Linked DNA regions of Drosophila melanogaster. Changing the gene in region 2 together with the main gene of any one other region gives a genetic interaction. Each region holds a gene or a part of one and is shown on either strand. Other genes may lie near its edges.

Region 1 (7,774 bases), on a different chromosome or scaffold from region 2:
TCCACGCGCGGCGCATTCACACAAAGCTAAGGCATGCGGCACAAACGGATCCGGATCCCGAACATCCGCTGGCGGAGCAAGAGCAACGGGATACATCTGCGCTCAGCTTCACCTGCCCGGTTTGCAGCCGGGTCCTAACGGATCAGTGCTATCTTAGCATCCACCTGAAGCGGCACTACAATCAGCGCGACTTCCCATGCCCACAGCCGGAGTGCGGCAAGAGATTCTTTAGTGCCTCGGAGCTGAAGCACCACCAGATTGCCCACACCCAGCAGCGACCATTTGCCTGTCCACTCTGTCCAGCACGATTTCTGCGCAAATCCAATCATAAGCAACACCTCAAGGTGCACGAGCGTTGACAGCTCGAGAGCACTTTGATTATGTTAGTATACGGTACGATTTCCCTGTCCATTCGAATCGAATTCCAGGCGAATCCGAGACTCGCCCCACCCTAAGCTGCCCCCCGGAAGGGGGCTTGGTCTGCGCTTTCCATTCAATATAAGTGTTTATTTATATATACGATTCTGTTTGTCTTTATCTGCATGCTTGCATATTAGATATATGTATATATTTGTATTTATACTTTATAAAGTTACGGGTACGGGGTTGCTGGTTCTCTGTGGTTGTGTCCTCGGAGGACTGTTGACTGTTGCTGTTGCATGTTCGCCTGCATTGCTTTGTTTCGTTTAGGCATAACTTAAGGATTACATTACATTATTTGCGGGCTTAGCCGGAAATACGAAAACAATTGTTTGATTAAAAACAGTGATTAGAGCCAATTAACAAAACACAATCTCGTTCGCGGTCGTTTATTCGATTGATTGACAATCAGGACTAAGTGTCTTAGCACTAAACTGCACACGTGAGAAACTTAAAAGCAACAAAGGGGGCAAACAATAGACAAAACTTAAATTAAAGTTTCGCCGGAACCAGAGGACAAGTGCGCTAGGCAACACTGCCCGCCACGCACCATTCACTGCCCAACACTGGCCAGGCGGTACAGTTATTTTTGGTCGTAACAGCGAAGCAATGGGCAAAAAAAAACAAAAGAATTAAAAGAATCAGCAAATATTGACGTAAAAACAATTTGAACTTGAACTTAAACTGGATTTGGGCTCTTTAAACGTTAAGATAAGCTAGCGAATTTTGTTACATATATAGACTTAAGATCTAGACCCAAGAAAAACGTGCACTTGCCAAGCAAAATCCGGCCAGCAACGGCAAACCATATTGCATATTGGTTGGTTAAGCTATCGTTTCAAATACGATGCTGTAAAAGAATCAAGAATCTCTCATTTGGTACACAATAAATGCAGTTCTGAACAAAATGGCACCTTAGATGGGCCAGACCTGGCTTGCGGCATTCAAATTTTGTTGGGCAAGTGCTTTACACATAGGATATATGATCGCATTTTACGGATATTACGACTAACAAGAGCTGACTGCGCTTTAAGAGTTTACGAATTTTTTAACACACACGTACTAAGCGAAAATCGAAACGTTTAACAACCATCTTCAAACGGATATATCTATAATCCCATACTCGATCAAGTGGAGGTCCTGCGTGAATAATTTCATTATTTTGGTCTTATGTACATTTGCAATGTATGGTAGTGTGTCTGTGTGTGTAAGCTTCAAGCTTGATAAATCCCAGTTCCTGTTTTGCTCATTCATTTTTGTTCCAAATCACCAATTTAATTGTTTTGCTTCTTTCTCAAAGAATTTTGACTCTCTCGCTTCTAGCGCTACCAACTTTACGCACACAGATTCGGGGTATCTTTTGGTTTTTTTGTGTTCCTGGTCGGTTCCATTTCGGTTATTTCCTCATGTGCTTTTGGTTTTCTTTTTTTTTTTTTTTTTTTGTATGTAAAATGTTTAAAAAAATTGTTGCTTCTTATCGAAAACTGTAACTCTCTCCACGTTTCCACCTACACAATATATAGTCCTAAACTTGTAACGCCAAATACATGTTCTCTCTCATATATGCTTGTAAAGATATATATCCCACATGTAAGTGTGTGCTCTTTGTATATAGATATATCTGCATCTGGTTTGCATCTACCATTTGTTTTTCAATTACTCATTTATGTACTCGTATATAATTTGCCTGAACTTATTTCATATGTGCTCTCAGAATTTTTCTTGGTTTTCTCTTTGAAACCAATTCCGATTCTCATTTTGATATCCCGCGGAGCTGCTGACTAGTAACACTGATGAATCTCGGGTCATATTCAACATGAATAGAGCTGTATATAGTATTTTTGGATGATGCGGAAGTTCTTGTTACATCAAGGATTCAAGTAGTTTTTTTCAACATCAATTTGTACAGCTTTCGGCAAGTGAAATGTACTTTTTCTAGAGCTAGTGACATAATTAAATTTTATACCCTGACAGAGGGTATTTAAACTACATCACTACAAAGCCGAACAAAAGCACATTGATTGCATACCAATTTCATCTTAATAACCATTGAAATTTCTCTCGAATGTGAATAAAAATCGATAATAAACGATATTGACTACCGCAAATTCTTGAGGATAGTATCCATTCATCGTCAGTGTTACTTGTCAGAGCCGTTTACTGGGATTTCTGTGGATCTTCTTTCAAACCCAAAAATGGGCCTTAAACTCCGGCGCTTTCTGTGCGGAAAATTGGGGGAGGGGGAAGATTGAAAACCGGAACCGGCCGTGCGCTTATGACATGGAGCTGCACGGCAGCCGTGGCGAACCCATCTGTGTGAGCACGCGATCCAGCCACTGGAGCGGCCCGTTCAGATGGAGTTCGATCCAGCAGGGCGTTGAGGTCACCGTCTGGCGGCGATATTCGGCGCCCCAGCCCTTGACGAACGACATGCGGATGGTGCACATGCGTGTCAATTGGTAGACCGCTTCGAATCCCTGCGACACGGACTGCGACAGCAGGGCGGCAAACTCCTGGTTGTTGAAGATCTTTAGGTTGCAACCGGGCGGTATCTTGCATACGGTGGCCGGATGCCAGCCATATCGCTGATTACAATTTGGGCTCTGTACGAAAATGGACGAATCGCTCAGACATTCTGCGAATACCTCACCGCCAATATAGTAAAGCCGTACGCCCTTGCCGATGTGGCGACGTGTCTGCTCCACGACCTCGTTGCGATTCACATTAGACAGCAGTCCGAGGCAAAAGCGCTCCGAATTGGAGGGATCGGTAAAGCCATCCACCGTGATCGAGGGCTGCGAGGCATGGAACGTCTCGCCGACACGCGTATTTAGCTCATAGTAGGAGATGGAACACCAAAAGGCCGGCTCGTGGTACATCACCGGCGCTGCATCGGCGGGCGGCGTTAGACGCGACATGTTCATGTTGTCGTTAGGATCGATGGGGTCACCATCCTCGCTCATATAGCCGGGCGGCGGGGTGCCGGTGTTGGGAATGCTGCTGCCCACACTAAGCACACTCGATTGAGAGTCCATGTTTTGGCCAAAGGACAGCTGCTGCTGTTGCTGTTGATAGGCGGAGGCGGCGGACGATGACGACGACGACGACGAGGAGGGACCACCACCACCACCGGCGGCAGTCGCTGGCGTCGAACTGGCAGACGATGATACGGAAACGGGCCCGGCACCGCCCAATTCCATGTACTGCGGCGGACTCAACGAGGCGCTGCGAATGATCGCCGCATTGTAATCGGTGTTGTTGGGTATCTGGTGCGTATGGTTGTCCAGCGGATAGTCCACAATGGAGTCGGGCGGCGTGGGCAGCGATTTGGGCACCAGGATGGACAGTTCAATTTTTTTGTAGTGGTACGGATTTATGCAGATCTCCTCCTTGCGCAAATGGAAGGCGTACTCGCAATGATCGAGGGGCTTTAGTTCATTCTGACTCTGGAGATCGGGCCAGCGCCACAGGCGGCAATAGATGACGTGCGGCAGACCCTTGCGCAGATGCTCGCCGGCGGGAGCTGGCTTGCTGCGCGGCACCGTCACGCACCGCGTCTGGCAGTTCTGTGTGGAGATCGCGCGCTCTAGCTCCTCCAGCTGCGAATTCTTCTTGATCTTCTTGACCAGATTCTTGACGGCCTTCTCTGACCACTTGCCCTCGACGCTGTTGTCCTCGTTGCCCTTTTTGAGTGCTAACAAACGCTTGACCACCTGCGGGGTGAATGGCAACATCTCAGGGTCTCAGGGGGGGGGAGTTCTCCTGGGCTTTCCTGGTGTCCTCCGCGTCCACTAGCTCCTCCTCCTCCAACTCTGCGTTGCCTTTTGAATACTGCTCTCACTGCTGGCGTTGGTCGAGTTTTAGTTTTAGTTTTATTTCGATCACCTTCTCTGGAATACTGGAACGGGACTGGGAAGTGGAACTGGAACAGTCCTAATGCTGCTGCTGCTTCCCTTGTGCACTTCTGATCTGGAATAGTGGAATGGGTTTAGTTGTGCGTGCTTTGGCAATTAAAACCTGATAATTGGCTTGCATGTGTGTGCGTGAGCGGCTGGATCTGATAAAAGCTCGACCCTGATGACGATGTTATTGTGATAATTGCCCGAGCGTGTGTATATGGGTAATCTATTAACTTTTGCCTTAGATTCACATTCAGATTTCTAAAGAAAGATTCAATTTAGATTTTCCATTTCCAAAACGACAATCGCAAATGCAATCGTCTGCGTGGGTTGTTGCTGTTCTTGCTATTTTCACTACCGTTGTTATTGCTATTCTTGTTGTTATTGTCTCCAACAAGGTCAAATGTCTGCGTTTGCAGACGCTTTTTTTTTGCTTTCGTTGAGTTACAGCAGCCACAGAAAACAGAAACAGAACCAGAATGTGTGTATATTTCTGTATGTATGTACACACGCCTAATCTGTGGGCAGTTTGGAATTTTCCATCTTATCGAAGGCGGGGCAATAAATTACCGAAAATAACAACAACAAAAAACATGAGCGTCGCCGGCAAGAGGGGTACGATCGAGTTAAACGCAAAAATAAATAAGTAATTAAATGTGCATTGGGGAAACAGCGAAAAGTGCACATACAGCCGCTTTGGAATGTATCCATGTATCTGTATCCGTATCTTCAACCCCCACCTAACACACACACACTTGCGCCGAGTGTCTCGCACATATAAATATTACCTGTAACGGTACCGGCAACTCGAGCTCCTCTGTCGTCCTGCTCTTGCTCCTTTCGCCTGCTCTTTCAACTTCTATCGTGCCCGCTCACTCGCACGCACACACTGCTTCCAGGTCCAGATGCACGGGAACGGTAACCAAAAGGCACCGGAACCGGGCGCACACATCCAGCCGAGCCGAGCCGAGCCGCGCCAACAGGAGGGGGTGGTGGTGGTGGTGCTGGTGGCGTTGATGGTTGTCTGGAACGGGGAGGGGGCCGTGTGGTGGGCACCGCTTCTTCAAATTTCTGTGTGTATATATCTTGTGTGCGCGCCAGAAAGTGACAGCTATACGCACACGCACACCAAAGCACAGGCACCGCACACCGACACGCAAGGAGCACACACACAGTTAAACGAGCGCACAGACACAAACACACAGAGGCACAACAAGAACAGAGAACTTATTTTGATAAATATTTAAACGCCTCCTTGTTGTTTGTTCTTATGTTATGCTCTTTGTGTTTATTTTCTATACGTTAGTAGTTCACTTTACGTTCGAATTGTGCTTTATGGGAGTAATATAATTTTTTGCGTTTCGCGATTTTGCTATTCGCAAAGTTGCAGTGTGCCCAGACTTGCTGCCCAACAATAGTGTGACCGACTGTGTAGTGTGACCGTTGGCTGAAACGCGAATAAGCTTCGACGCCACGGCTCAAAATAAAATAAGGCGTGAAAACATTCTAATGATCGTTTTGATAAATTCATATAAACAACATAAATATTGTTACATATTTTAATACTAAAATCATAAATATACTTGTTCGCAAATATATTTGCGCCACAAAAGAATGGGATTGGATGGCCAACTAATTAGTTACTAAATCGATGGGTGATATCAACTCCCTGCAAGAATCAAGTCAGACAGCTTTTATTTTTGAACGTAGTGGATTTTTTGTTTTTATTCACTTATTGGTAATTGTCAACTACCAGGATGAACTGGAGTCAAGTGCGGGAGAAGCGCCAGGACTTCTGCAGCGCCTGCTTGACGAGCTCATCCGGCGAGGGAGTATCAAAGCGGAATCTCTTCACCTGGATGCCGTAATCCTTATACTGGCACATTCGCAGGTGCTGCCGTTCCAGCGGAGTGACGGCGTACACTAGACGGGGCTTTCTCGGCTCCGGATAGCCCACCATTTCGTCCAGCATGAGCCCAATGGGTCCCGGTTGCTCCCGGTAGTCGCTATTCGCTGGTGACCGATCGGCCAGCACGTCCTCGTCGTAGTTGATGGATCTTTTGCTGGCCAAGAGAGTTACACCGGTCGTGCTCCTTCTTCCGCGATCGCAGGCAATGAAGGGTATGGCAAAAGGCTCACAATTGGTCAACTGGCGCGCCTTGCTGGCCAGCTCCTTGGGCGGTGCGCCTTTATGCCTGGCGATAATCGTGGACGTGAGGTCAATGAGTGGGGGTGCTGACGTGGCTGTATTCACCTTTGTCCCATCGCCTATATCCAGCTTCTTCATGCCGCTCTCCAACCTTGTCAGCAGGGGTATGTTCAGGGGCTCCTTGGGCATCGCGACCAGTTGGGGTAACACAAATCCCATTGATTGCGGCTTGTTTTCGCCCTCCGATCGCTGCCGTTGCCTCAACTGGATCTCATTGAGTAGCATTTGATTGTGTGCCTCCGCCTCTCGGCGGTATTCCTGCTCGGCAGCGGCATCCGCATTCGTCTGCAGCTGCAATTGTGGAATTCTAAGCTGTGGAATTTTGAGCTGCGGAATTGTGAATTTTGGCATCGCTTCTGGGCTCGTGCCACTTATACTGCTCAATTTGGACAAATCGCTGGTGGGCTGGAGACCAAACTCGGCCTGGATCGCCTGGTGGAGGGACTTCTTCGGATTGCTTGCCATTTTTCAAGGCCCAAACTCCAGCGACGATGACGAATTTGTTTATTTTTTTTTTTCTTTCTTCTTTTTTGCGTCTCTCCTTTGTTGTTTTCTTCGCTCGTTTGACGTTGTTTTGTGGCAAAGTTGTCAAATAGTTTCAACTGATTGACTGATTGTCAAACATGTTTTTATTATTCTCACATATTTTAGGATTCTCACTCTAAGCAGTTTCTTTAAAAATTTTCCGAATTTTATAAACCCGATATGCTTCCCTCAAACAATAACCTAAAATGCAGATAGCATAAATCGGCTGCACTTGACAACCCTGAACAACAGCTGTTTGGAGGGAAAATACAAAAATGGTTCGCCAAATGTTATATTTCCCTTATCAATATAGACCCAGTTTCTGTGGCGGAACTTTTATTTATAAATATGTTTTGGAACATTCATGTGTGAAAAAAAATGCAATTTGATCGCAGGTCCTATTGATTTTTTAAGGTATTAAGCATGATCCAGCCGGCAGATGGGGCCCTCCTCCACCATCTTTAGATCCACTTTGGGTCCGACCAAATCGCGAATGTTGTTGATGCCGTACTTGATCATGGTGGGTCGCTCCAGCGACAGACCCCAGGCGATTACATTCACGTTCTCCGGCAGTCCCATGGGCAGCAGCATCTCCGGCCGGAAGACGCCCGAGTTGCCCACCTCGATCCACTTGGCCAGGCCGGGGTGATAGCAGAAGATCTCCATGCTGGGCTCGGTGTACGGATTGTACGCCGGCTTGAATTCAAGCTGCGTGATGCCC
Region 2 (4,234 bases):
CACGGCATATTTTAGACAGACTATTGCGGGGTGTGAAAATCGGAAGAAGGAGGAGAGATTTTCCCTTACCAGCCAACGTTTTTCACGCCCTGCGACAGTGAGTTTATGACACGAGTGTAATATAATTCATATTGTACCGAAAAATGTTAATGCCGCTTGAAAAATACCTCCCAATAAATAATCCTTAATGTTCCGTGTGTGTGAGTGGGTGGCTGTGCTGGTGTGCAAGTGGACGGGAGAGCGGGAGGGCGTATGTGTAGCTGGTGACACCGCCCACCACCCACACCCCCTGTTATTTTATGCGGTGTAACCGCAACACATACAACCTAGGTGGTTGGACGAGGCCATCATGTCCTGACAGTATTATGACGTTGCTCGTCGCCCGCTCCTAACCCGGAATCTCTGCCCGTGACATGGACTTTAAAGCCGGAGAACCAAGGGAAAACAAAGCGAATGGAGAATGAAACATGGCCGCGACAAATTTGTCAGCACAAGGGTGTCCAGATGAAATAAATGGCCCGTTTTTGTTTCGTTTCTCTCGCTTTATTAATATTTATGTGTGTCTGGGGGCGTGTTTTTAATTAAGCGGGTCCACGGGACTCCAACTTGCACCAGAACAGCTCCCGGGGCAGCAGTCGGAAACCGGAGATGCTGCTCATCATGTCCGCCGGAGTGCGATCCGTAGGCTTCAGGTGGTAGCGCAGGACCAACTGGAAGATCAGGGACTTCACCTCCATGAGAGCCAGCCGGTTGCCTATGCAGCTTCGTTGGCCCACTCCAAAGGGCAGGTACGTGAACTGCCGGATCTCGTGCTTGTGCTCCTCGTCAAAGCGCTCCGGTCGGAATTGCTCGGGTTCCGGGAAGTTATCCGGGTCGTGATGAAGTGCCCCCACGTTGATGTGCACTAAGTCGTCCTCCCGCAGGTTAACCACCACCTCGCCTTCCTCATCCTTCAACTGGAAATCAGACCCACACATTCGATCCACGATGAACGCCGGTGGCCACTTTCTCAGCGACTCGGACACCACGCAGTTCAGATATTTCATGCCCATCAGGGTGTCGTAGTCTAGTGGCTTCTCACCCAGCTGCTCCTTTACGGCCAGGATCTCCGCGAGCAATTTTTCTTGCACTTCGGGGTTCATCATAAGTTCGTAGCTGGTGAAGCTAAGGCAGGTGGCCACTGTTTCGAATCCTGCCGAGAAGAACAAGAGGCACTGGGCCAGCAAGTCGTCATCGTTGAATTCGGCCTTATCCTGCTGTGCTGCACTCTCCGCAGATCCTTCTTGCTCTGCCTTAAACTGTCTCTGCGCCTCCATCAGCAAATGAATCATATCGGGCCGCACGATACTCTGCTCCTTTCGATACTTCATGGCACCGAAGACCAGCTTTTTGAAGTAGTCCACGTTATTCATGTCCATCACGGGGACCCGAAGTGCCTAAAAGGGCGGAAAGGTTTTACAATTTGAAAAAAGAATGGAGTGGTGATGTCTTTACCTTCATCAATTTTGGCATCAGAATGTATAGCATTACTTTGAGTCCGCCCCAGAAAGTAAACTCTGAAATGCGCTGCCCGATGGAAAAGAACTCGTTGTTGGGATCCTTGAAGGAATTCACTTGGATGCCAAAGGCAGCCGTCGCGATCACGTCGTTGGTGTAGCGCGTGAAGAAGTCCTTTAGCTCCAGTTCGGAAGTGCCGGCATCCAGTTGGCGCTGCACGAAGTCCACCGCCTCTACATTGCAGAAATGGATGAGCTCGAACATCTGTCGGATTTTGAGGCTGGTGAAAGTAGGCGTCAGGGTGCTGCGCATTTGCTTCCAGCGACGATCCCGCAGACTGAGCAAGCTCTTGGAAATCACGCTGGTATCGTTGAATCCTTCAGTTATCCCCTTGCGATGGTTGGTGAAGGTATCGAAGTTCTTGATGCCCACCTGGCGAATGAGTTCCGGGTCGGAGAGATAGTATAGGGGATCCCGCAGGTTGAAGACTCCATAGACCTTGTGCTGCTTCAGGCGCAAGTGCAGGTCAATGCTAATAGAAACGGTAAAACGTAATTAGAAGGAGCTAAAAAAAATCGTCATATTTACTTGCCTATGTTTTATGTACGACTCTTTACCCATCAGCACCGACCACGGAATATTTCCTAGCAGAGGAATTGGCTTTTCGTGGGCCACGCCCCTCTTCGAGAAATACCCGAAGGTGTAGACGGACCATTTGTACAATAGCAAACCGATGAAGGCTACGAATATCGACAACTCCACGAAAACCATGACGGGATTTTGGGGATGGAGCGTGGGAGTAGGGAGTAGGGGACTCTAATCGAGCTGCGCAGCGCGTGGAGGTTCCGAAAAATTCAGAGAGCTACTTCGCCAGTCAACAGACGGTACGCCACTGAAATAAACAATGTGCGCTCTTTCTGTATATATATAAGCTATCTCGGAGAGAGATACTATAGGCACATATATAGCGGGAGAGAAAAAACCGGCAAAACGTGTGAGTGTGTGTATGAGTTTACCTGATTAAGCGAAAGCGAAATAAAAAACAAACATTAAAAGAATAAGTTTGCTTATCAATTAGCATTGGAAGTCACAAGAACATAATATAATTATATTTATAAGAACTATCTGAATGCTATTGCATGCTCCATTAACAATATATTCAAAAACCACATAAGCTACAAATTTCGGCGCAACTTTCAACCCCATTGCGAAATGGGAAAATCAAATGACGTAACTGAGATATATAAATAGATCCTAATCGAAATATTCCATTAGATGGTAGCAAGATGGCCACACACAAAACGGATTAATTCGAACAGATAACTCCAATCTGATGACTAAGCTACTTTGCTGGTTTCCTGGAGTAAACTCACTAAGGTCCATGAGCATGTGCGACTAGTTTCAGTTCTCAGCCGGGATGAACATGGCGTTCGGCATGTCATGCCTAATCTCATTGGCATAAACTAATTTCAGCACTAATCCCCCAAAGCGACTCAACTATTTATTATAAAGGACTTAGCGAAGACAGCCCCGTGGAGTGGGAGCCTGGGGTTGCTTAAGGAGCCGAGGGAGCTACGTGCCTGGGATCTTCCCGCAGCGACGACCTCAAACTAAAACTCGAACTCAAACTCGAGCTATGTCCCTCGCTGCATCTACACTGGCAAAGATATAGGCCGATTGAAATATGTCTAATTTATTATATATACAATTAAAATAATGGTTGGGTTTTCCACTGCACTGCTTACATTGGTTTTACGCGGAAGGATCGCTAACAAATCAGAATTCCAAATTTAAAACACTCTTCCAAGTGGAGCAGAATCCTTTTGAGAAGTACAACCCCGCATGATTTTGTGAGTTTGAGTGGTGCAATTGCTTGTAGTTTGCAGGTTGGAAAAGTTTAGTGTGCCAGCATCCAGCTTCTAACTCGCTCTAATCCGAGACGTCCTGTGCGAAGTCCTTGGCCATCCAACTCACGTCCCGGCCAAATGACAAAATTTGCTTGCATTTAGTGCGACGCTAACGGGAAATTATTGCACTGCTTGCAGGACGAGGGAGCGATGGAGCCATGGAAAGGACCACAAAGGATGATGAATACAAAAAGCCAACAAATCGGTTGGCAGGCAAAAATCCCATTTGATTCAGCGGTCAGTCAGGAATATCAAATGAGAGCAAAATCAATCTCTCGCTCGTCCTTTGAGCTCCAGTTCTCGCCCGTCTTGTTGTTGGGAACTAAGTCTGTCTTTCAATGGAACTGCTGTTTGGGGCCAGAGGCGCAGAAGGTCCCGAAAAAAGGGGTGCGCTTAAGTACTATCTTTTCTAATGTCCTTCTTTTGATGATATATATGTACTTGCAGTACTTATGTTAGCTTCCCACATGAATGAGATCCCTGTTTATAAATCTATCCTACGCCACTGGCCATCTTCATCGTTTTTGTTTCTGCTGGATATCAAATGTGTTTACATTGGCAAAAATGGGTCGAGGTGGGCGAGTTCAGGGGGAGGTGGAGTGGAGTGGAGTGGGGCAAATGGCCAAGTACTTGAAGACGTTTTTTTTTTGCACTTCATTGGCAACCGATGGGTTTGGGCCATTTGAATCGTTCGTCCTTGCAATCGACCTCGTCGTTGGCTTTGTTGCTGTTGACTTGGCCGTTTGCGAGTCTGTTTTCACTTCCCTTTGCCTTTCCGTTCGCCATTAGGACTCAAGTGCCGCCAAGTTGTGCTCCTAAGTGGGATCCTC

Evidence for each region.
Region 1: of Cyp9c1 (region 2) and Smox, changing one suppresses a phenotype caused by changing the other (phenotypic suppression), as found in Drosophila melanogaster (one study listed by BioGRID).

The regions. Positions count from the first base shown.
Region 1 is NC_004354.4:8,136,529-8,144,302, forward strand, and holds Smox (smad on X), read right to left. Parts: upstream 5,752-7,774; 5' UTR 5,108-5,751; intron 4,390-5,107; 5' UTR 4,155-4,389; coding exon 2,694-4,154; 3' UTR 513-2,693; downstream 1-512. Other genes in the region: CG2120 (uncharacterized protein), read left to right, coding at 1-359; CG17982 (uncharacterized protein), read right to left, coding at 6,088-6,993; alpha-PheRS (Phenylalanyl-tRNA synthetase, alpha-subunit), read right to left, coding at 7,471-7,774.
Region 2 is NT_033778.4:24,629,220-24,633,453, reverse strand, and holds Cyp9c1 (cytochrome P450 9c1), read right to left. Parts: upstream 2,392-4,234; 5' UTR 2,269-2,391; coding exon 2,090-2,268; intron 2,042-2,089; exon of another isoform or gene 2,030-2,041; coding exon 1,495-2,029; exon of another isoform or gene 1,437-1,494; coding exon 582-1,436; 3' UTR 531-581; downstream 1-530. UniProt on the Drosophila melanogaster protein: May be involved in the metabolism of insect hormones and in the breakdown of synthetic insecticides.